Astyanax mexicanus: one gene and its partners. The protein of the gene in region 2 purifies or fractionates together with the protein of the main gene of each other region. This does not show direct contact. Links are inferred from orthologs where the notes say so. Each region holds a gene or a part of one and is shown on either strand. Other genes may lie near its edges.

Evidence for each region. The genes of interacting proteins can lie anywhere in the genome.
Region 1: the proteins of wdr82 (region 2) and setd1ba purify together in Homo sapiens (affinity purification with western blotting; 4 studies listed by BioGRID, with this or other methods). This does not show direct contact. The link is inferred for Astyanax mexicanus from reciprocal best matches to the Homo sapiens genes WDR82 and SETD1B.
Region 3: the proteins of wdr82 (region 2) and ppp1cc purify together in Homo sapiens (affinity purification with mass spectrometry; 5 studies listed by BioGRID and IntAct, with this or other methods). This does not show direct contact. The link is inferred for Astyanax mexicanus from reciprocal best matches to the Homo sapiens genes WDR82 and PPP1CC.

Annotation. Positions count from the first base shown.
Region 1 is NC_064427.1:22,483,262-22,490,610, forward strand, and holds the start of setd1ba (histone-lysine N-methyltransferase SETD1B-A), read left to right. Parts: upstream 1-4,332; 5' UTR 4,333-6,287; coding exon 6,288-6,351; intron 6,352-6,703; coding exon 6,704-6,843; intron 6,844-7,348; coding exon 7,349-7,349. UniProt on the Homo sapiens protein: Histone methyltransferase that catalyzes methyl group transfer from S-adenosyl-L-methionine to the epsilon-amino group of 'Lys-4' of histone H3 (H3K4) via a non-processive mechanism.
Region 2 is NC_064412.1:15,876,542-15,884,117, forward strand, and holds the start of wdr82 (WD repeat-containing protein 82), read right to left. Parts: upstream 3,014-7,576; 5' UTR 2,766-3,013; coding exon 2,605-2,765; intron 935-2,604; coding exon 837-934; intron 301-836; coding exon 234-300; intron 1-233. Other genes in the region: heat shock protein beta-7, read left to right, coding at 4,509-4,529, 4,741-4,857, 5,371-5,509, 5,600-5,607; cplane2 (ciliogenesis and planar polarity effector 2), read right to left, coding at 6,824-7,061, 7,576-7,576. UniProt on the Homo sapiens protein: Regulatory component of the SET1/COMPASS complex implicated in the tethering of this complex to transcriptional start sites of active genes.
Region 3 is NC_064408.1:10,500,286-10,508,232, forward strand, and holds the start of ppp1cc (serine/threonine-protein phosphatase PP1-gamma catalytic subunit A), read left to right. Parts: upstream 1-4,930; 5' UTR 4,931-5,164; coding exon 5,165-5,219; intron 5,220-7,947. UniProt on the Homo sapiens protein: Protein phosphatase that associates with over 200 regulatory proteins to form highly specific holoenzymes which dephosphorylate hundreds of biological targets.

The DNA of each region.
Region 1 (7,349 bases), on a different chromosome or scaffold from region 2:
GCTAAAATGCTTTTGACTAGTCAGAGAGATCGCACAAGATATCTACACACCTATCAACTTTGAGGTACTGGTTAGGGCTGCACGAAATTGGCAAAAATGGACATTAGTTGTTTTGTCTGCAATATATATAGTGATATTTCAAAATGCAGGATATTTTTTTAAAACTTTTAACAGAAGTCAATGATCCAACATATCCTGGTACCATGTGCTCCATACATCCACAATTAAAGTAAAATAAATTATATTTGCCTGATATAATCTTTCTTGCTGATATTTAATTGGAAAATAGAATTTTACTTTTGTTTCAAATAGCAAAAAAGTTGCTCCCTGGTACAATTTTTTGGCCTTAGTAGAAGAATGAAAAACAGATAGTTCCCAGATAGCAAAGGCAGGTAAATTAATGTTGGATTTTGGGGTTTCCTATGGTCAAAAGTTATTATAGGTAGAAGTTCTAAACGTTGTTTAACGTTAAAAGCACAATGTGGAATCAATGTTGATTCAATGTTCCTTTGCTGTGTTTTCATTTCCAGTTAAATATCTGCAAGACAGGTATATCAGGCAAATATACTTTATTTCACCTCAATCCAGGATTTACGGAGTGAACTTGGGCACTGGTAAGTTAACACAACATGCTGGATCGTTGACTTCTGATAAAACATTGAATAGCACCATTGCTTAAAGGTTGCTTTTTTATTGGCAACATTAAAGGTGTCCTTCTGCTAAAATTCACTTTTTCTTGTTCCTTGTAAAATACAATAGGTCTCTCTGAGTTGTATATAAATGCTGCACATGAAACCTTTCTTCAAACTCCATTGTCTGCAGTAGCTAGTAAAAGTCGATCAGGAAAAGCAACCTATCTGCGTCAACCTGGGAATTAGTATTCATGGCCTCGCCCACCTTGGCTCGTGACCGCCTACAGGCGGAGCTAAAGCTAGGCAGGCGGCCAGGCAGCTACATGTCTTGTCAGATAGGAGCTAACAGCATTAGGAACATGGCAGTTTGTTCCTGTGTTATTTGTGCCAATAACACATCAGTGTTATATGCTTTGCCCAGTAATTCAGAGCTAAGAAACAAATGGTTAGAAACTGTCTATGGAACACTACCAGTGAAGTACAATTGAGAGGTAGGTGTATGTTTAGAACAGTTTGCTTACACTAGTTAAACTTAAAAAATCCATGAATGGATTTGTACCTTCTGGACCTGGGCTACCCACCTCTGTGGATGCAGTGTTGTTAGCAAAACAGAGGCAATATGTTTGCACACACACACTTGTCCACAGGACTAAAGAACATTTTACTGGATCATCAGAGCACTTTTTTCCGCAAAAAAACAGTTCACATGGCATTTATTCATACTAGATACCACAACTAGAGATTTTACAATGAATGAATAAAGATGGAATGAGACCTTTAAAAGACCTTTTGAGACCTATGTGCTATTTGGGTCGTAGTGATATTTTCATGAATTGCACAATTTTAACATTTTAAGGTGGAATTCCCTTTAACACATTCAGTAAAAACAGGAACACAGTGTGTGTGTGTGTGTTCACACTCTCTCTCTGCTGCACACACTATTCTACACAGCTAGTGGCCATAGAAGGCAACTGCACAGAATGTTCTAGAAAGAGAGAGAGAGAAAGAGGGAGGGTAAAGCTTAGTCTCTCAGAAAGCTGTTTTGTTCATTAGGCAAGGCAAGGGAGGTAAATGTTTACCCCTGATTTTGGCACATTTCATCACATTTTTTATCATTTTATAAGCTTTAGAAACCATGCATGTTGTTGATTTGTGTTTTTATTCTCATCAGCTCACAACTGTAATCGAAAAGTGGTTAAATCTTTTTTTATATATCTCATTTTTACCATTGTTTTTGTTATGAATATTGTGAGCTATAATGTGAGCTATAGTTCTAAAAATAACATTTTAGCCAGCTGACATACCCACTAATAGGACATTTAACCTACACTTTCCACACGGGTTAAATGTGCTTCGAAAACGCACGAGGATTAATTATAATATATTTTTATATCTTTTCCTAGAGAAAAGTGATAAATTACATCATTTTAAAGAAATGGGACAAAGTTCAAATTGGCTTGTTTTTCAAATCGGCTTGTTTTTCAAATCGCCCGTTCCACCTTAAATGATCCAGCAGTTACATTCAAGCGCCGCGACGTCGCCTGAATGTAACTGCTGGACAATTTAAGGTGGAACGAGATATTCGAAAAACAAGCTAATTCAAGGCTGTTTCGAGTTAAAAATGGTGACACAATCAAGAAATAAAGCATTTGATGCGAGTTTATCCAAAAACAGGCGGTTGTAAAGCACCGAGATATTTACCTCAGAAAATGTTTTTTACTACATAAAACGTGTTTTTTTTTTCAGTTCAGTAACTCGGTGGATTTAACAATATATCGCATTTTTCCTGTTAAATTTACCTCAGAAAATGACTGTAAACACACTATAACACTAATTTCTAGAGGGTATAGTCTGGGCAGTATGTGGTGAATAGTGAATGGTGCTGTTGTTGAGGGGAAGGGCGCCATTTTGCAGCACAGCAGCAGCAGATCCGCCATTAAACAGAACTGAACACACACACACACACACACACACACACTAATACCACCTAAAAACACACAGTAAAGTTAAATAAATGCTAAAATAATTTAAATCTTGATATCTTGATTTTAACTTCATTTGAACACTTGTTAAAGTATAAAATGCACACAATACCCTTTATAAAGAATGTAATAAACATAATTCGGCTTAAATCCCATAATATTCATTTATGTAAGCATATTAAACATAAATAAAATTACACAAATATGCATATATATGCATATTGTATGCTCAGATGGCACATGATTGAGCTCCTCCACTTTAATTAAAGTACACACACACTGTAGTTATACTTAGATAAGAAATAAACAGATAAAAAAGATTGATGGATTTAAAGATAAACAGATTGGCAGAAAGATCACTTTATTAAAAGGAAATGTACCTATTGCAGAAAGAAGTACATAAATGAGCATTAACAATCTAATATTATGTGTACATAAAAATATTAAGAAATGCAAAGAAAAACAAACCAATTGAAAATATATATATAAGATTAACATAAAACAGTATGTGTATAGTGCAAAGTATGTGCAGGTATGGTAAAAATAATGTTATTCCTATGCCTAATGGCTATATAACAGTAAAATGTTTTTTATTGTCATCATTGTTACCTTATCAATAAAAACAGGCAGTCCCCAGCCCACAGATGGAAATGTGAACATGCTGCTGTCTAAAAAATGAACAGCAAATGCTTGAGCAGGAAAAAGAGAGAGAGACTGAAGGAAGGGCGAGGAGACAGTGAGAAGGAAAAAGAGAGAGAGATGATTTGCATATCTATTTTCTGTAAAAGTAATTTTTGCAGCTGATTTGCAGCAGTTTGGCTCCTCAGTCTGCGCTCTGTGGCTCCTTCACTGCTGATATTTTATTTTTAATATGAATTGATAAAGGAGGATTTAGAGCGGGTCTGACCTCCTTTTATCTAAATCAGTCGAGTTACAGGACGGCGATGGGAGTGAAAGCGTACAGTCTCCTGCCTTTAGGCCTGATAAAATTATTTCAGCAGAAAGGCGAAGGTAAATATCCTCAATGGGCTTTTTACGGGTTGTGTTCTCGGGCTGATCTCGGTGGTTCAGCAGCAGCAGGGTAGATAATGTTCTGCAGGATGAGGGGAAAATTACAGATATGAGAATGTGCCCTTGACTCAAGGTCAAACGGGTTAAGAATGCTTTAGAAAGAATTTTAATTGTCTTATTTTTTGTTTTGAAGTACGACTGATGGATTATTAATATCATTACATAATCCTGAAAAAGTCCTTTACTGTAGTAAACACTACTAGGAGATTAATCAACTGAATAAACAGGCTGATCAATAAAAACACAGTGGCAGTTTCTGTAAAACGAGTTACAGGGTTTTAGCAGAACAACCACAGGCTGTGATTCAGCATTTCTTCCTTTCCTTTGTGAAAGGCCGTCGACCTTTTTTCCTCTGGCCTGATTTTTTTTTCTGTTTCCTCTGAAATGAGTTTAAATAGATAAACAGCAGGCTGAGTGTAGAAAAATGAGAAAGGTAGAGAGCAGCCATCACTCAGTGCCATGTATCCTGAGGGACCAGAGATATAAAACAATACAAAAGAAATTAAAAATGGTAAATAATAAAACAGCCAATCCAAGTGAAGTTTGTAATAAAATATATTTATATATGAATACACATTGACACATCTATACATAATAATAATAATAATAATAATAATAATAATAATAATAATAATAATAATAATAATAATAAAGATAATAGTGAACTTACTCTTAGGCACATTCACATGCTCGGCCTTGCGCAGGGGAGGGCCTGCCTACGCAGCTGATGGTAACATTTGCATGTGTATTTTTTTCTCTTTTTCTTTCTAAAACGTTTGTTTTTGTCAATCAGCTGTTTATTCAGTAGCATTTCACTGTGAGAAAGTAGAGTAAAATGCTGTGATATGGGTGTGCCATGACCTAGTTTGCCAGGACAAAGATGGATTCCTGGAAAAAGAGAGAAAAGAGAGAGAGAAAGAGAGAGGAAAAAAGAGAACAAGTTTAAAAAATGTCAAAGGGATTCGGTCCAACATTTCTTCCTTCTTCTCAGATATCCTGCACTCAGAGAGACAGTATGTGTGATAGTCCGTCATGAGGAGCTGGAATGAAGCTTTAGATCCTTTTAGGAACAAAGGAACCGCATTAGGCCTCAGAGCGCGAGCTCAGCGCTCCCACTCTCTGCTGCACGAGCTGCAGGCTGGGGCTCTAATAGGAGCGGCGCATGCGCTGTTTCTAATCTCGCCCGCTTTCCGGCAGGGCCCGCCCCCCGCTCGGGCATTGGCTGACGCCTAGCGGGTACTCGGGGGTCGTCTATTGGACGCGCGCCCGCCAGCGCGAAGCAGCGGCCAATCACAGTACGGAGGAGGCGGAGTTTTGGCGTAAACGGGTGGAAAACGAAGAGGCGATGCTGATGCTCTCTGATTGGACAGAACCGGCTCTGCTGTTTTAACCAGCCAACTGCCCTCAAAACACACACACACAAACATATATATATATACACACACACATATATGTATAAAACACATACAATAGAAACACCACATTTAACACACAGTGCGGGTTTCACGAGGAAAACACTGTTATAAATGAACCAATCCATTAATTAGTCAGTACGTCAGTCTTTATTTTCACACTGAGGGTGACCCTTATTCTAAATGACAGGGATTGAAAGAAAAAAACTAAATACAAATAATATTTATGCACCTTTAAACAAGAGAAAAACAACAAAACAAGTTAAAACCCCTTTAAAAACAATCTAATAATATAAGGTGACCAAATGAACAGTTCGTTAATAACGAGGCTGAATACATTGATCAATTAAAGTGGGTAAAAGAAAAGTTAAAATTAAGCTAAAACTAAATATTGACCAAAATAATACAATAATAGCAATAGTAAATAAAAGTAATACATACAGCTAACAGTAATATAATATGAGAAGATATAGTGAATTTTACACAGTTTTAATTAGAGATTGTAGTTAATGGATAATAAAACTAAAACTAGAGCGTTAAACCCTCTACAGGGTTTTTACCCTAGCATGTACACTAACTCTCAGTACATTATTCAGTATTCAGAATTGTATATGTTTATTTAATGTGTTGATATGAAATTGTGTTTAATGTTGGGGTAAATCGGGGAGAGTTTTATATTTAAATAAACAGAAATGTCCATCTTCTGTTTGCCATCCAGGTAAATCTATCCCGCAGATTCCACGCGCCGCCCAGCGCGCCCGTATTCCGCCAAACCGCGAGCGCAGATCAAAACAACGTGTAGGAAAATACTGCATATCTGCTCGCGATCCTACGCAGATAAATTGAATGAAATCTTAGTTTTTAGCGCGGTTTCTGCGCGTGAAGCGAATTTTCGGTCTTGTGGCGAAAGTGCTGCGGCTGCGCGGCTCGCGGGGCTGTAGTGGTGTATTGTGGGAGAGACAGCAGAAAGCAGCTCGAGACACACAGTATGTGCAGGCGCGCGCCCCGCGGATCCCTCAGCTCCCGCACAGCCCGCAATATAGCCCGCAGCACAGCTCGCAACATGTAAAAGCGCGGCGGCGCGAGCTGGACGCACGGGAACGAACTCACGCGCCTCGACGCTTCACCGTTACACACGGACTCGAGCAGGACGCCGCGCGCAGAGAGAACACACACACACACACACAACAATGTCCAGGCCAGGGGAGAGAGATAGAGGCAGGGTGAGTGAGGAGCACAACCGCAGGACTTCAGGTAAGGATCTCCCTCTGTTTCCCTATGTCTCTCTACTATCTCTCTCTCTCCCTCTGTTTCCCTATGTCTCTCTACTATCTCTCCCTCTGTTTCCCTATGTCTCTCTACCATCTCTCGCTGTTACTCTATGTTTCTCCACCATCTCTCTCTCTTACTGGTTTTCTATGTCTCTCCACCATCCCTTTCTCACTATTTCCCTATGTCTCTCCACTATCTCTCTCTCTCTCTCTCTCTCTCTCAGTTGTGTTTCTGTGAGTGGGACCCCCCCCCATGTTGCCATGTGTTTGTGTGTATATATGTGCAATGTTTGTATACATTGTGTAATAATGTGTAATTGTTTGTATGGGAGCAGCTCCGATGAACGGGATGGAGAACAGTTCGGGAGAGAGACGCGGCCATCACTGGAGAAGCTACAAGCTGATCATTGACCCGGCACTCCGGACGGGTTCCCACAAGCTCTACAGATATGATGGGCAGCACTTCAGCTCACCGGTCAGTCTCACACACTGACACCTGGTACCCTTCCTTCAGCCAGGGTCCAGCAGCGCTTCTGCGGACTTTAGTAAAAGAAGTAGCAGAGGTTCAAGGAAGGTCCAGTAGAATTTATACAGGTGTAGTAGTGTCAGCAAAGTTCTAGTAGAACTTGAATACTGGAAAAACCCAGTAAATGTTCAGTAGAACTTTGACTGGTACAGTATAAAGTTTTAGCAAAGTGGCAGAAGAGGTGCCAGAAGTCTAGAAAGTTCAGATAAGGCACTGGACACCCAGTAAAATGTCCAGGGAAGGTCCAGGAGAACAGGTATAGGAGATCCACAAAAGTTGCAGCAGAGGTGTCGGAGCTAACAGTGGTCCTGACGGAACTTTTGACAGCTCCATCACTGGCTAAAACTTTACCGCCAGCACTTCCATTGTACCTGTACCTTCTGCTAGATGGGTCAGTCTAGGGTTGGGGGTGGTTAGTGATTACAGTGTTTACAGTGTGTGTGTGTTTTTACAGA
Region 2 (7,576 bases):
CAAAGGAATTTCTAATGTTCAGACTGACATTTAGCTCACAGTTCATACATATAAAGGCCTTATTCTACAAGTTTTGGAAAGCAGAGAAATGGAACAGAATATGGCAGAATAAGAGCAGATTTTGTACTAAACATTGTGTCTGCACGCTACGCTACAATATTTTCCATTCCCCTTTAAGCAGAACAGTCCATTGACAAAAAAAGCAGCCTTAGCTCAGTATTGATGATCCTCACCTCTTATTGTGTCCGGGAAAGTAACGAATATACTTATTGTCGTGTAGAGACAGGTACCGTATAGTGTCTGTAATCAAGTAAAAGTGAAAAAAGTCAGAAACAGCTGCAAGTTTTTAATACTGTTACAGAGACTGCACATTCTTATAAAATTCAAAAACAGACGACATTAAGCTCTATTACGACCTCTGGCTGTGAAACTGAAAAAGCTAAGTGTGATCCACTATAGCAGTTCTGAAACTCCAGGTTGACTTTTAGATGAGTTGGCACCACCCTGGGCAAGGCAGTAGTCTGTACAGTTAGCTCCTTGAAAGGGCAGAATCACAGACCCTCAAACTGTACAAACAACTACCTCAAGCCAGAGAGGGCACAGTCAGGGAGCCCCGAACAATCGGTCAGTACAAGGACGACAGCGAGCTTGATTATACTTACCCTTTATACTCTTAACTGGGAAAAAACAAACAATACAATCACAAACAGGGGAAAGAGCACTAAACATATTGCGGGGGGAGCATTACTAACCAGAGGATTATCAATATGACAAGCAGAAAGTCACACTGAACAACAACACAACACACAAGTTCTTAAATGAATAAAACAACATACCATCAATTTTGTTGGAGCTGTAGACGACTGTATTGGCAGCATGTGTGTATCTGATGAGGTCCACTCCATACTTTTTACTGTACAGTGTCCGTTTAGGCCTGGATTTAAAGTTTGGGAAGAAAATATTCTGTTTAGGGGAATGACACAAACTACTGACTTTCCACTAAAAGTTAAATGTTTATATTAATTAAATCTACCCTGTTACAAAGTTATATTTTTTGTGATAAATTTTGCACATTTTGTCCTTGATTTTTCACAATACTGTTACTTGCACTTCTGAAAGATGCTAACTATGAGCAATGAGAAAGTTGAATATACCCATAACTGAAAGAACACAAGACTAGAGCTGGACATTGCATTACGTTGCATTACAAACAGCATAAGCAGTGTCAGATTCTTAAATATTGCTATACACGCTCAAGCATAGCCAAGTCGTTTTTGTCGTTCATTTTTTGTAGCACTTCATCTAGTTAATAGGAGTTAATTATGCTTCTTGTTATGACAGTGTTCTGTAAACAGTTAGTATCCTCGATATGCTTGAAAAAAAAAAGCATATTGTTATATTAGGGGTGTGCTATATTGTATAGTACACAATAGAATTTGGTCTTGAAAGCAGACTATTATTTATTTTGTCACTATTCTTTGTAGAATAATATTCTGCACCATTTATTTTGTCACTTTATTATCTTTTTAGAAAATCAAAGTTCTGGTAAGACATTTTTTTTTTACAAAAGAGACAAACAGTTGTAGATTTTTTGTTTGTGCTGACTGTTTAAAACCCTGATACAATAAAAATTAAACTTTTGACATTTGTGTCAAAATTATACTTCTTAGATTAATAAAATTTGTGTTCTTTATAGACAAGAATATTGTTGTCGTAAATATATTGTCATATTTTAGGGCCACATTGCTCACTCCTATTCCTTATCAATATGATCAAATATTGTCATTAAGGGTGTGTCATATCGTATCATATGCAATAATATGGACAACATTTTTGAATATCGTGAACAATAATGTACCCTTATATATCATGCCATATCACCCACCCCTAATTATCACATCAGGGTACTACATTTTTGCTGTTTTTAGCAAAAGAAAAATTCACACTGTTCTCATTTTCCCATTATATATCTACTTCAATATAATTCATTTTACTTCAGTCCTGGATATATGGAGCTATTTGGAGTGCATTATTAGTATCATGACATTCTGATAGATCTGATAAAACTCTTATATTTTTAATATTTCAGTTAGGGGTGTGTAATATCAAATTGTATGCATTAATACAATTGAAATTTTCATAAAAACATTTATTTATTCCGTGTTTTGTCATATCACTATCGCGAAAATACCATGAAACACCGTGATAATATTTTAGGGCCATATCGCCCACCTTTAGTGTTGGGCGCTAAGGCGGGTAAACAGAGCCGGAGAAGCGTGGATCTCAGCTAGCTTAGCTACACCCTGCAATCCCTCAACATTAGCCAGCTAGCTAACTCTTTACCTAGCTACTTAGCTTAGCCACTTAGCAAAATATCACACAGCTGTGATGAACCCGAGGGCTTTTATAAACAGATACACGCCCCGTCAACATTTAATCACTCCAGGCTTCCAATAGCACCAGATTTTCTTTCTGTTAGCAGGAACTCGTGGTCCGTCTAGCTAATCTACTCGAGGCCGAGGCTTTGTGCGGCAGTAGGCCTCACAGACCCACACTGCGGAAATCCGCGCACCGGGACGGGCTTCACACAGACCGCTCACTTACTTTCCCTCCTGGCAGTCGTACAGTACAATCGAGTCGTCGTCGCTGCTCGAGATCACCGTCTCTCCGTTCGAGCTGAAGTCGAAACAGTTGATTTTGTCGGAATTCTCCCGGAACACCTTCGCGACCCTGAAGCTCCGCAGAACATTGTCAGTGAGCTTCATGCTGGCGGCCTTGCTTTATGCCTGGCCAGGCGCAGGCTGCTCTCAGATTGCGGTCAGGGAGGACGGCTGTGTTCGGGGAGCGGTGGAGAAAGTGTTAGAGGGCTCTGTGTGGGTCTGTGAGGCTTGTGAATGGAAGCGGGTTGAGTTACGGGTTTCTGGCAGGTAAAGAAAAGCCCGCCCTGGCAGCGCTGCGGTGAACTCGGTAACGGAAGGTGTTTCCTACGGGTGGTGAAGTTGGAAGTCACTCCTTCTGCAAAATGGCCGATACGCTCACAGTAGTGGCATTTCATAATAAAAGTCCTGCTACTGGAAAAAAAATATATACTGAGCTTCTAAAACCAGTTCTTTAGTGGACCTAGAGAGGGCGCCGATTGGTCAAAAGAATGATAAATAAATAGTTACAAAACTTTTTTTTTATTTTAATTATCTAATATTATAAATTTATTACAATAAAATTTTATAATGAAGCTTTTTTATTTTTTTAACGTTAAAAAAAATCTAAATTAATGTCACGTCATTTGTTAACCGTACTTGCCTTCAAGAAGTGTCGGAAATATCGTATATCACATGAACTCCACCACAAACTCGTATTTACCAGTGAGAAACTCGGGTTTTTAGATAAGCCCCGAGTTTCCCCAGTTGGGAGCGTGTCAGTAACAAGTGGTCAATAAATTAAGTAAACTGATTTAAATTGATAAATAAATTCAATAAATTGATGCAGACACTTCGTATTGTAAACTGCTTAACACTCGAATACTTTGCAGGTTGTTATTAGCTAACCAATAAAATCACCAGCAGTATGTGAAAAAAACGTAAAGGGATTAAACCCAGTTAAAGACTATATTTTCCTTTTAATTGTAAATCTCAATTCCAGATGGTGTGTAATCCAAAACTAGATTTTATATCTGTCTAGGAAACTGCCCCCGTTTTTTTTTTTTTTGTCTCTGCCTTTATATTTAAAGGGATCTGCAAAATCATGTTGTGGGATGAAATGCTCATCAGAATATCCTAGCAGAATTGTACATAATGCATAAATAATTCCAGTCTGTGTCTGAAAGAAGTCCAACAACCTGCTTAATTAGAGTGGATGTGATGACCATTATAGACCATCATTAATAATGCTCGAGGTGAGAGAAGACCTAGAATGTCACATCGGTTCTTCAGCTAATACACAACTCTATTTCTGTAGGGTTGCTCAGCTGGGGACTATTTCACAAAGCAGGGATTCTTAGTAAGCCAGATAAACTAAGCCCTGAGTCAAGCCTGCCTAATGGCAGAAGAGCTGGAGAACATTTTCTACTGCATGTTATTCCACTATCTGAGTTAGCTTTGCAGAATACCCCTGAACACTTTTCACCAATATTTGTAATTGGAAGTTTCACACCTTGTATCCTCTGATTGTGAGTCATATAAATTGGAACATTATTAGTTGTACAAGCTGATCTCTCCAGTGTGTGATAAATACTGCACACAGACATCATAACCTCACTCTTATTCACAGCTATGAGGCTCCTAGCACTCACAGCAGCCTACAATAAAAGGGACTTTAAAGCCCTGAGGGAACTCAGTGCAATGCTCTAGGAGCTTGTGATGGGTTTTTTGTTTTTGAGTCAAAGCTTTTGTTTTTGTGTGTAAGGCACTAATGCGTCACTAGGCTGAATTTTACAGTACTTTTTTTTTTTTTTACCGTTTTAGGAATAGAAAAGCCTATCTGTTTTCCAACTACTTAAGAAAAATATCAGAATGTCAGAAGATTATCTAAAGGTGAGTTTTTTCATCTATGCTTGCTTATTGCTATATAGATCAGAGCTTGCTTGTACAGTCAACTTTTAACACTGGAAATACGATAAAAGAATGCAGCCACAAATTAAGTAGGCTAAGACAGCCAATAAACCTGTGTATTTACAGCAACAGGTGTTTTCTGTTATTGCATGCACTTAAGTAGCAGAGCTATGTTCATATCTGTTTTCTAAAGGAGGAAATGTGCACTCTTGGAGACACATACATGTTCACAGTGGACGTGAGTGCATTCTCGCCAGAACAAGTCATTGTTACCTCATCACAAAACATCATTCAGGTTTCTGCTGAAAAGGTAAGCAAAAGCATAGAGTAATCTAACACGTATTCTGTGTGATTCCATACCAAGAAAGATCAAGGATATTATTGTGAAACCCTTTGGAAATACATTTAAAAGTTCTTTATTTTGTTGCACTTGATAGAAGTCCTTCAATGAGAATGGGGTAGGATGCTGACACTAATTTGTAACATTAATATGTTGCTTATGTTTGAGTTATACTAAGTAAATAATATTTGCTATATAAATAATAAGCTTTGTAGTGCACAAATGGTGACTTTATTGCAAGTAATCGTGGAATTAAAACATTCCAAAACTACCATGTCACCACTTTTTACCATGAAAAACTATTTAGTAAAATATTTTATTTCATTAATTTACTGCTTAAAGAAGACATTAAGTGTTTAAAAAACTATAGATCAGAAGTATATATACAGTTTACTATACAACTTGAACATGAACCTATTAGTTAAATACATTTAGAAGACATACATTTTTGTCTCATTGTAATATTCTGCTTTTATTTCTCAGCTGGCATCAGATGGTACCGTCATAGACACATTTTTCCACAAATGGCAGTTTCCTCCAGATGCAGACCCCATGTCAGTGAGCTCATCCTTGGGGCAGGGTGGTGCACTTACAGTTACAGCTTTTAAACACAAGACAAAAGGTAAGAAAACATATTTTTGTCAATTTAAATTTTAATGCATGGATTTCTACCCTTGCAGAATATTTTTTTTCTTTCTCTATATGATTGCAGTTAAGTGATCCATACACCTTTATGATGGCCTTGACTGAAGACTGAAGAAAGGCACTTCAAATTATTCCAATAAATAATATAAACATTTTGAGATGCTTTATTTTAAATGCAACAACAATCAGTACATTAAAAAAGTGTGGTGACCAATGTTTGAACTACTTTAAGACAACTTTCTTATTGCTGTTGATGTAAAAATAGACTGTGCACATTGATGTATTAAAGATTCCCATAATCGATGGCAGAATGGGTTATGAAAGACTATATTGGTAACTATTGGTAAGTGTAAATGTAAAATCCAAATATGTAAATCTTTTGAAATAATAGTTTTTGTGATGTCACAAAGACAGTCACAAAAATACATATAGTATCTGTCAAAAGTTTCTCATTCAATGTTTTATTTTTTCCCCTACATTGTAAATACATACTGAAGTCATCCAGACTATTATGGATCACATAAGGAATCATGTATTAACTTAAAAGTGTTAAACAAAGCCTTTAGGTGGGATTCTGTTAACTTCTGAGGCTGGTAACTCTGATGAACTTATCCTGTGCAACAGAGGTAACTCTTGGTTTTCATTTCCTAGGGCAGTCCTGATGAGAGCCTCTTTTATCATAACATTTTTGATTTTTGATTTGTTTAACTTTTTTGTTTACTAAATAGTTACATATGTTCATCTTCATTGTTTGGATGATTTAAGTATTAATCTACAATGCAGAAAATTAAAAAAATGGAAAAAAACGCCACTGAATTTAAGGTTTGACTGTTATTGTATATTCACCTTTATATTTATATAGTTATATTTAACTGAAAGAAGTTTTACTCCACCCATAAGCACAGTAACAAAAATATTGTTGAAAAATGTACAAGAAATGTATACAATCATTTTTGTTTGGTAGAATATATGTCTTTTACCCCTAATTTAACAATGAATAAAGCACAATATCCAACTACACTAGCGTGACATCAGTGACTCGAACCTGAAAATCAGTAATGGTTATTCAGAAGTTGCACTTATAAACATTTACAAGCTAAACCTAGTTGTGGACAATATTTTGCTTCAAATTGAAAATCCCCGTAGTCAGTGTAGTCGACTAGGCTTGATCCCGGTCTGAGGAAACTGTCCCTTAGGGGTGTATCTTTACACTGTGTAAAGTTCTTTCTCCAGGTCCTTCAGCTTGTGATTTGAGATCTTGCACTGTGCTCTGTGATGTTAAACTGCACAGCTACACAATAACCTCTCGGTTCGTATCTTCTGGATGAGGCTGTGGGGGTAGAGAGGCAGATGAGGCGTGAATGCAGTCCTGATGCCACAGGTTTTCTGCTAAGGCATTTAGCAGGGGTGCAATCTCACCAAACCCTTCACTCACATCACCTCCCACCCGGAAGACTGGCACACGAGACACCTCCTGAAAGCGTTTGATCTCACTCTCTGTCACATCTGTGTGCATAAACAAGTCAAATCTGTTCAATCTGAGTTAAGGGCAATGCTTTTTTTTGAAGGTCAGATTCTTTTGGTCAGAGCTTCTTTCTTCCTTAGTTTTTGTACAGAAATTACTCAAGCAAACAAACATCAGCATAAGATGGAGGAAAAAAATATCTAGACTGATGGGTGTGAACAGAAACACACACTGTCAGTTCTCACAATATGATTGTTGTATTATTGCAATATGTTGCTCACAATAGCAAGGATATCAGAATACTGTGACTCAGCGATACTCGATATATATCGCAAGTCAATTCTCTATGACATTTTACATAATCTGTGCTACAGAACAGAATAAAATACTCCTAAATAATACTACTAATTAATGGTAAATAAAATGAATAAATTAATACAAATATTAATATTTTGCCACAAATCAGTGTATTGCAATATCAATCTTTTGTCCCACACTTACTCAGTCAGTACATACACTGAAATCGTTCAAACGTAAATCGTTAAAATGTCCACCTATCAGAAGTGATTGAAGGATACT
Region 3 (7,947 bases), on a different chromosome or scaffold from region 2:
CAAAGGCAAGTTTTCGTCTACAGACTCCTCAAAAGTAGTGAAACGTGAAGACCTGTTCTTCTGATTTGGCTCCACGTGCAAGACATCTGATGTTTAGCATCAAAAAATGAATAGAAGATAACCAATAATTCCTGCATTCCTTTTCTGGTATTTTTATCTAAATGTCTTAAAAAACTTAATACCCAGTTTCTATTGCTGGTAGCTGTTTTTGGATGGTATAAACTGGCTTTGATGGCCAAGGTGGTTGAAAAGCTGCTCATCCAGAAGAATCTACAGTATGTTGCATTTTATTTTGGTCATGCTTGACCATTTTGATTATGCTGGTATACAGGCTACATGTGCATGTATTACAAAACCCTTTTTCTCTGCCTTAAAATAAGTTATTTGCATTCTGAAAACTTTGCGGGCTTTTTCAGTGTCACGCCTGGCGCCGAAAGAGCTCCTGTCCCTTCCACACTTAGATTTACTTGCGATCCCTAGTCTCTGGACTACTATCCCCAGAATGCACAACACACTGATGTCACTCCCTCTCACAATCACGTCACTGTACGGGCACCACCAGGAAGTCAATCACCGGAATATTGATTACACCTGTGTACACCCATATATATATATCTTCACTATACACACACCCTACTAAATATTGTAAGTTTAACACATACACATACAACTTGTTTATCCCATTGCCTGTGTTACCCTCTTGTGTAAAATTTTGTTTTGTTTTGTTTTTTTAATTCGGCTTCTGCGTACCATTTGATACCTTCTGCTCGTGTATGACCTCATGTAGAACTGAATCTTTTTTATGGTATGTTTGCTCTCTGTTGCTGTTGTATACTGGTGTTGTCCCTTAACATTTTGACTATCCCCTGTACCACTACTTTCATTAATAAACCATCTTATTTGTATCCTGTAAAGCCATCACGGACAGTAAAATGTCTTATCAAACATGAAACCTTTTTATTTAATGCTTGAACAGAAATCCTCCAGATTCAGGCATGTAATATAAGGCAGAAAATTGTCAAAAATGCTGGCCTGTTAAGGGGTTAACCAGCTTAACCACCTTCAGCTGGTCATGCTGTTTATTTTTCAGCTGGGTACAGGGCAATTCTGGTGTCACACCACCCATTTTTAGGTGTTTAAATCCTATTTATGGTAACATCTCAGACTTGGAGGCAGGATGTAAATGCAAGGAGGTTTTAATAGATGCCATAAAGCAAAATAGCAAAGAATAAAACAAAGCTGAGACTAGAAAAGTAACTAAAAAATATCTAGACTAAGATCATACTTTCAATAACTGAAGAAAAACCACTAGCAAAAACATAATAAAAAAAAACACTTTCAACACCTTCAGACCTGAATTATGTTTCAGTGACAGAATATTATATGAATGCTGTTTTCTGTCTGTAATGTATGCACAGAAAGACAACAAAACAACAAAAACATTAAATTCATTTTAACGTCCATTGTATTGGATTGCCTGTTAACATTTTTATTTTATTTATGATAATGACTTTGATAATAACCTCCTGTAAACAGTGAAATAAACGTAATAAAAAGTTCTATCACATAAAATTAGGAAAAAAGACCCTAGTGGTGGGCGGGAATATTCTACTGTTTCATTAGCTTGCAAACTTCTTATTGACTGGTTCATGATCTGTTCTGATGGACAACAGGTCTCAATTAGTGTAATGTGCAGCAAAACATCAAACAAAAATAAATGATGTCCATTGCAATGGACACAGGATCTGAAACAATGTTTTAACTAATGCAGTGTATAACCAGTAGGTGGCACAAGATCTACATCTATTCATTTTCCCATAAGCAGCTGTGTGGAACTCACCTGAGATCCTTCTCACTAGAGTTAACCACTGAAAAATAGGCTCGAGCTGGATAAACTTACTGACCAGTTCTGCTCTTTATTTACATAAAGTAAGCATAAACAAGCAAGCTGATCAGCATGACCAGCAAGACTCATCAGGTCAACCATCACAACCAGCTTGACCAACATCACTATTCTGGTCAACCAGCATGACTGAAATGCAGCAGTACACACTATACTGGTCAAGATTTGGTTCCCCAGTTTTTGATTGGATGGCCAACATTTCAATCAAACTCAACTCAACAACTCAACCATCAAAGGTTAGCTTAGACTTCAAAAATACAGCCTTCAGCAAAAGCATGAATTGTAAATAAATTGTAAATGTAAAAACGTGTTTTTATTAATCATCTTTCAAATCCAAATGCTATAAAGAAATAAACACAGAAATTAAACCTCTGCTTTTGAGTTGGTTTTGTTTTCTGTTCTTTTCTAATAAACACGGACACTTGCAGATACTCACAGACGTTTATTTGATAAGGGGATAGGCTTACAAGAGTAGTGAGGGGCAGGCAGGGTCAGTAACAGAATGGCACGAATGTAAACAACATACCAGAGAAAATTATCAGGCAATCTAGGGTCATCCATGAAAAATCCTGCAAACAAAAAGAAGAAGGCAAAAGGGAGTCAAATATACAAAAATAAGGTCGGTAGCAAGGTAATGAATAGAATGGGCAATGGTAATATAAAACAGGTTGGTAAAAAAAAAAAGGAAAAAGCCATGGGATGTGTCATAGGAGAGCTAGAAAAAATAGATTACTAAATACTCAGCAAAGAGCGAGCCAAACTAAGGGGTATATATACAGGGAAGAGCAGGTGAAAACAATCAATAGCTTGGAGAGCAGGAACACTGTAGCATCACGTGATCAGTAGTGTGAGAGAAGTCCAGTGTTGGGTGTATGCTAGGAAATGAAGGTTTTAGGGACAAGTTCAGAGCCTGGAGCAGACAAGCCAGATGGAGAAAAACTAGTTTAAGTGATTGGAAAACTTGCATTCCTCATTGGAGTGAAGAATTCAGGGTGCTTTCAATGTTTGAACAGGCAGTAAACATCACTTTGAACTGCTAATTGCTGGTTAACCGCCCGACCCTTTTACATCTGAAAAACAGCACAAAAACATATTATTATTATGTCTCCTCTCTACAGATTAAATGTCTTTTATTATTGTTTTTGTCTACATGATAGCCTTTACAGTTATCTGCATTTCTGCATGAATGTGATTAGAACCTTCTAAAAGAAGGTAAAGTAAACCAAATAAAACAAATGCTGCAATAATATTAATGCTTTTACATTTATTTATGAAATAAAATTGTTGAAAATTAAATATCTTTGTTTGAAAAAGTATATGAACCATTGCTTTCAGTAACTTGTGTGACTTGAGGCTTGGGGATTGGAAAACATTTTGTATTTCTCCCAATTTAACCAATTATTAAGCTGCATTTACACTGTACTGCCATGTCAATGCATATAAATGCACTGCCCCGCTCCAACTGGTTGCATGTGGGCGTTACAATGACATTTCGTGGGTTGTACATTTAAATCAATTTAATAATTGTTGGTTAATGGTTTAATACAAGCTTTATTTCCTATTTCCTATTATTTTCCTGATCAGAGTCCCTGTAAATCAGCAGGGATTGATCATAAAAGACTGGAAAGCCCGAAAACGCAATTTCTATCGTTTCCTCCATGCATTTGAAACCGTTTAAAACCATTGTGTTCGATAGATCCATTTGCATAAACTTCACCTCGCAGTGGAACAGTGTAAATGCATTACACAGCATTAAAAGATCCAATCATGTATTTGGGGTCATCGTCCTGCTGCATGACCCACTTCACACGAATCCATACAGATCCATTGACCATTTCTAAAGTTGTAATTTCAAAAGTTAGATTTTGACTGACTCTTTTGACTGTCTGTCTGCCCGTGCCTGTATACGTCAGTGTTGATGCTGATTAAGGACATTATTCAGAGACTCCATGTAATGATATTCAGCTACTTTCAGGTGTCCCCCTCACTGCTGACACAGGCTTGTTCAGTTTTGTACCCGCAGAAAGAGGAAAACATTGGCAACAGAATGGGATGCTCTGCACATGCTCTGCAAGGTCACAGTGTGCCTAGAACAAAACACTAAATAAACTGCTCCACAGAGCTGACGGATGTTTTAGTTGTAGCTTTAATCTTTAAATATAGTTCACCTATGCTGTTTCACTAAACTGACTACATTTAAATTGTTTACACACATTTTTATAGCTCTATGAAGTAAATAAAATATGATTTTAGGTGTGTATTTATTAGGATAAGATTGGGTGACACTATTTGTGGACACCCCTTAAACCCCAGCTTAAGGTGTATCAATTGCTGACACTGGATGTTTACACCAGGAGTGGCATAAAGTTATCCAAAAGCAGTGTGTAAGACTGGTGGAAGAGAACATGCTGAGATGCATAAAAACTGTGATTAAAAAACTGAGTTATTCCACCAAATATTGAATTCTGAAACTCTTAGAACTTTATAAATATGAACTTGTTTTATTTGCTTTATTTGAGGTCTGAAAGCTCTGCATCTTTTTTTTTTGTCTCAGCCATTTCTCATTTTCTGCAAATAAATGCTCTAAATGACAGTATTATTTTATTTGGGACTTGTGAGAAATGTTGTCCGTAGTTCATAAAATAAAACAACAGTGTTTATTTTACTCAAACGTATACCTATAAATAGCTAAATCAAAGAAACTGATTCAAAAACTGAAGTGGTCACATAAAGTGTCATTTGATTGTCTTAATATTAATTTACAATGTAGCAAATAAATGAAATAAATACAGAAAAACACCTAATGAGAAGGTGTGTCCAATTTTTTGACTGGTTCTGTATAGCTACTGTATTATATAAGTTATATTAATACATTAATAATTTGTAAACTGTGCACTATTTTGTGTGTAGATCCGGTGCTGTAGTAAGGCTGACATACAGGACAGTGCACTGCGAAAGACACTGCTGCCTCCTCTGTCTTGACCAGTGTATTCTTCCGCCACGCCGGCGCCTGACATACGTATTCCTCCGCCCCCGCCCGGCGGTCGACTCGCAGGCGCAGCAGCGCACGGAGGCTGAAGCCGCTCAGGAACTTCTTAAGCTAGCTGAGATAAATGAGCCTGAAACACGTTATTTAGCGTATATTTCAGCCTATAAAATATATAAAACAGGTTTAATGAGGCTTTAGCCGCACATTAGGTGGTAGAACGGTAGATAGGACTATAAGAAAGGTGTATATTTGTGTAGTTTAGCTGGCGAGGTATGGCCGACATCGACAAGCTCAACATAGACAGCATCATTCAGCGCCTTCTGGAAGGTAAGCTGGCTAACTAAACTCAGATTTTAAAGGTTTTAAAAGCTTAATATGTTGAACAACAAGCTAGAACATATCTCACAAGACTGTATATATTTTTAAATAGGATTATTTGTGTGTTAAATTCTAGCTTAAATAAGGGTAGGGGGTCTGTAGCCAGCAGGGTCTAAGCTAAGCTAGGTTAGCTAGCTGGTGGTTAACCTAGCTGACTGTTAGCTTTTGCTGTCAAGCAGGAACATGTTAATAATAAATATCGATGAAAATTCACCCCTTAATTCAGTGTTTATTAGTCCTTTTATAAGTTTTAGTTGTGTCTAATTTGATTACTATTATTTTAAAGACACGATATAAGGAAATAAACAGAATTATTGCCTGTTAACGCAATTTTTAGCTTTGAAACGTAGGAAAATTGACGTATTGTAGGCTAGCTAAATGTCTATAGACGTAGTTTTATTGTCTGAATGCAGTTAACGTTATATATTGTCAAGCTAGTTTTTGTGTTTAATGTTTTAGGGTTTTTCGGGGTTTACAGTTAAAATCTAACTAAGCAATTTATTTTATAAAAGCAACAATATAAAGTAACATAGTAATGCAATTTATGAACTAGAAATATTTGGAATTTGCTATTTTAAGATATTTCTTTCGCTGATATAGATAAGTGACTATTCAGTAGTAATACAAGAAAAACTTTTTATTTAAAATAGCAAGAATAACAGAGTAAGGTCTATTTTGTGGAAGATATATTGTTCCAGAAAGTATTGCAATAAACGATATTATTGTCATTTTAAGACCATTAAATTACTTAAATAATAAGAACAGAATAGGATAACAAAGCATTTAAACACTTTCAAAGACAATACAATTTTAATAAACACATGACTGACTTAAATCATATTAACCAGCTAATTTGAGTGTTTTAAGTGTTTTAAAATTTAAATGTAACTAAACAATTTATTTAAAAAAGCAAAAATATAAAATAATATGACTATACAGTAGAATATCAGTAGTGTGGTTTAATTAATATTAGTACATTATTTTAAAAACTAAATATGAGGAAATGCTCAAAAAAAACAGTAATAAAAAAAAATAATCTGAATAAACTGGGTTTTTTTTTGTATAGGAAATATAACAAATGAACAGGCCTGTTATTATAAAAACAAATTGAGGATGACATAATTGTCCCAGAAATTATTGCGATAGATTACATTTATTGTCAATGCCACGTAAATAATGCGAATAGGACATCATCATAACAAAGCAATTAAACACTTTAAGACAACACAATTTAGTAGTCTAATAGTTAATAGTTAATCTAATAGTTAATCATGATTATAATACTAAAATACTGTTCACTGTTATGTATGTGAACAAACATACAAATAAACACAAATGTTTAATCATGTCCATTTATTGTTATTTTAAAAACAAGATATGAGGAAACGCACAAAATGAAAATATGTATTTTTTTATATAAAATAGCAAAAATAACAGAGTAAAATAAGCCTGTTGTGATCATTTTTTTTGTAGACGATGTATCGACCCAGAAACTATTGCGATAAACAATATTATTGCTATTTTAAGATCATTAAATGCCATAACACTGGCATAATAAGAATAGGATAGCATAACAAAGCATTTAAACACTTTCAAAGACAACACAATTTTATTTAATAATAACTAAAATACTAAAACTCTTGACTGTTGTATACGTGAACAAATATACAAATAAACACAAAAGATGATTATCACAAAAATTAAATGTGTAATATCGTTTTTTTTTTTGGTGCTATTATATTCACAAGGCGATTTGCTTGTTTTTAGGTTGTGGGTTAGTACTGGGCTAGATATTGTTATTTGTGGGATTTTTTGCAGGTCGTGTTGTAGACCAAGTTGCAGAATATACTGCAATTTAAAACTGTATAATTGTATTATTTCTTATGTTCTATTATCTGACAGTTGGCAAAACACTTTACTGACACTTGTACTATGTATGTGACCAATGAACTTTTATTTTTTGTTAAAGAAAACCTACATATAAAATAGCTATAAACAGAATAGGTGATTAGTAAAAATATTGGGTCAGTTAAATAATATAAATACTTAACTAAAAATAAATATCAGTTGGAGGCTGAATGGAGGATGAATATATTAATTTGGCTGTGTTTGTAACCCAATATGATTCTCTGTTTGTCTAATTAAATGTTTGCATATAACATATAGTTGTTGTTAAAACTTATGCTAAAAAAGTACTAAAATACTGAGGCTGACTTAAGTCAAATAACATTTTGCTTTTTGCAGAAAAAAAATTCTATAAATTGACAAAATTATTCTATTTAGCAGCTAATAAATGAACAAAATCATAAAAAGCAGCCTGGGCATCAGTGAATTGTTTATTTTGTTTTCAGGTTAAGCTGATGGAAGTGGAGAATTATTCAGTGAATACTTTATGCTTGTCTTTTTGGGTGGCACTGCAGGGGGTAGCCGACCCACTTTTCTACATGAGATTTGTCCTGTTTAAAAGCTCGGAGCATCTCTCACATCAGAGCTAGCGATGCTGAGGACTGACCAGCAGCTCCAGCAGATTCACTGCTTCGGCTGTACTTTTGGTTCCTGTGTGTCCTGCAGAGCTGGTGGACTATTCCTGGTTTTGGTTTCAGAAAAACGAAAGATGAACCTTCCAGTTTCCTGGAAGAAAATTTACAAGGGGACTGACCACAGCAGTCAGGAATTG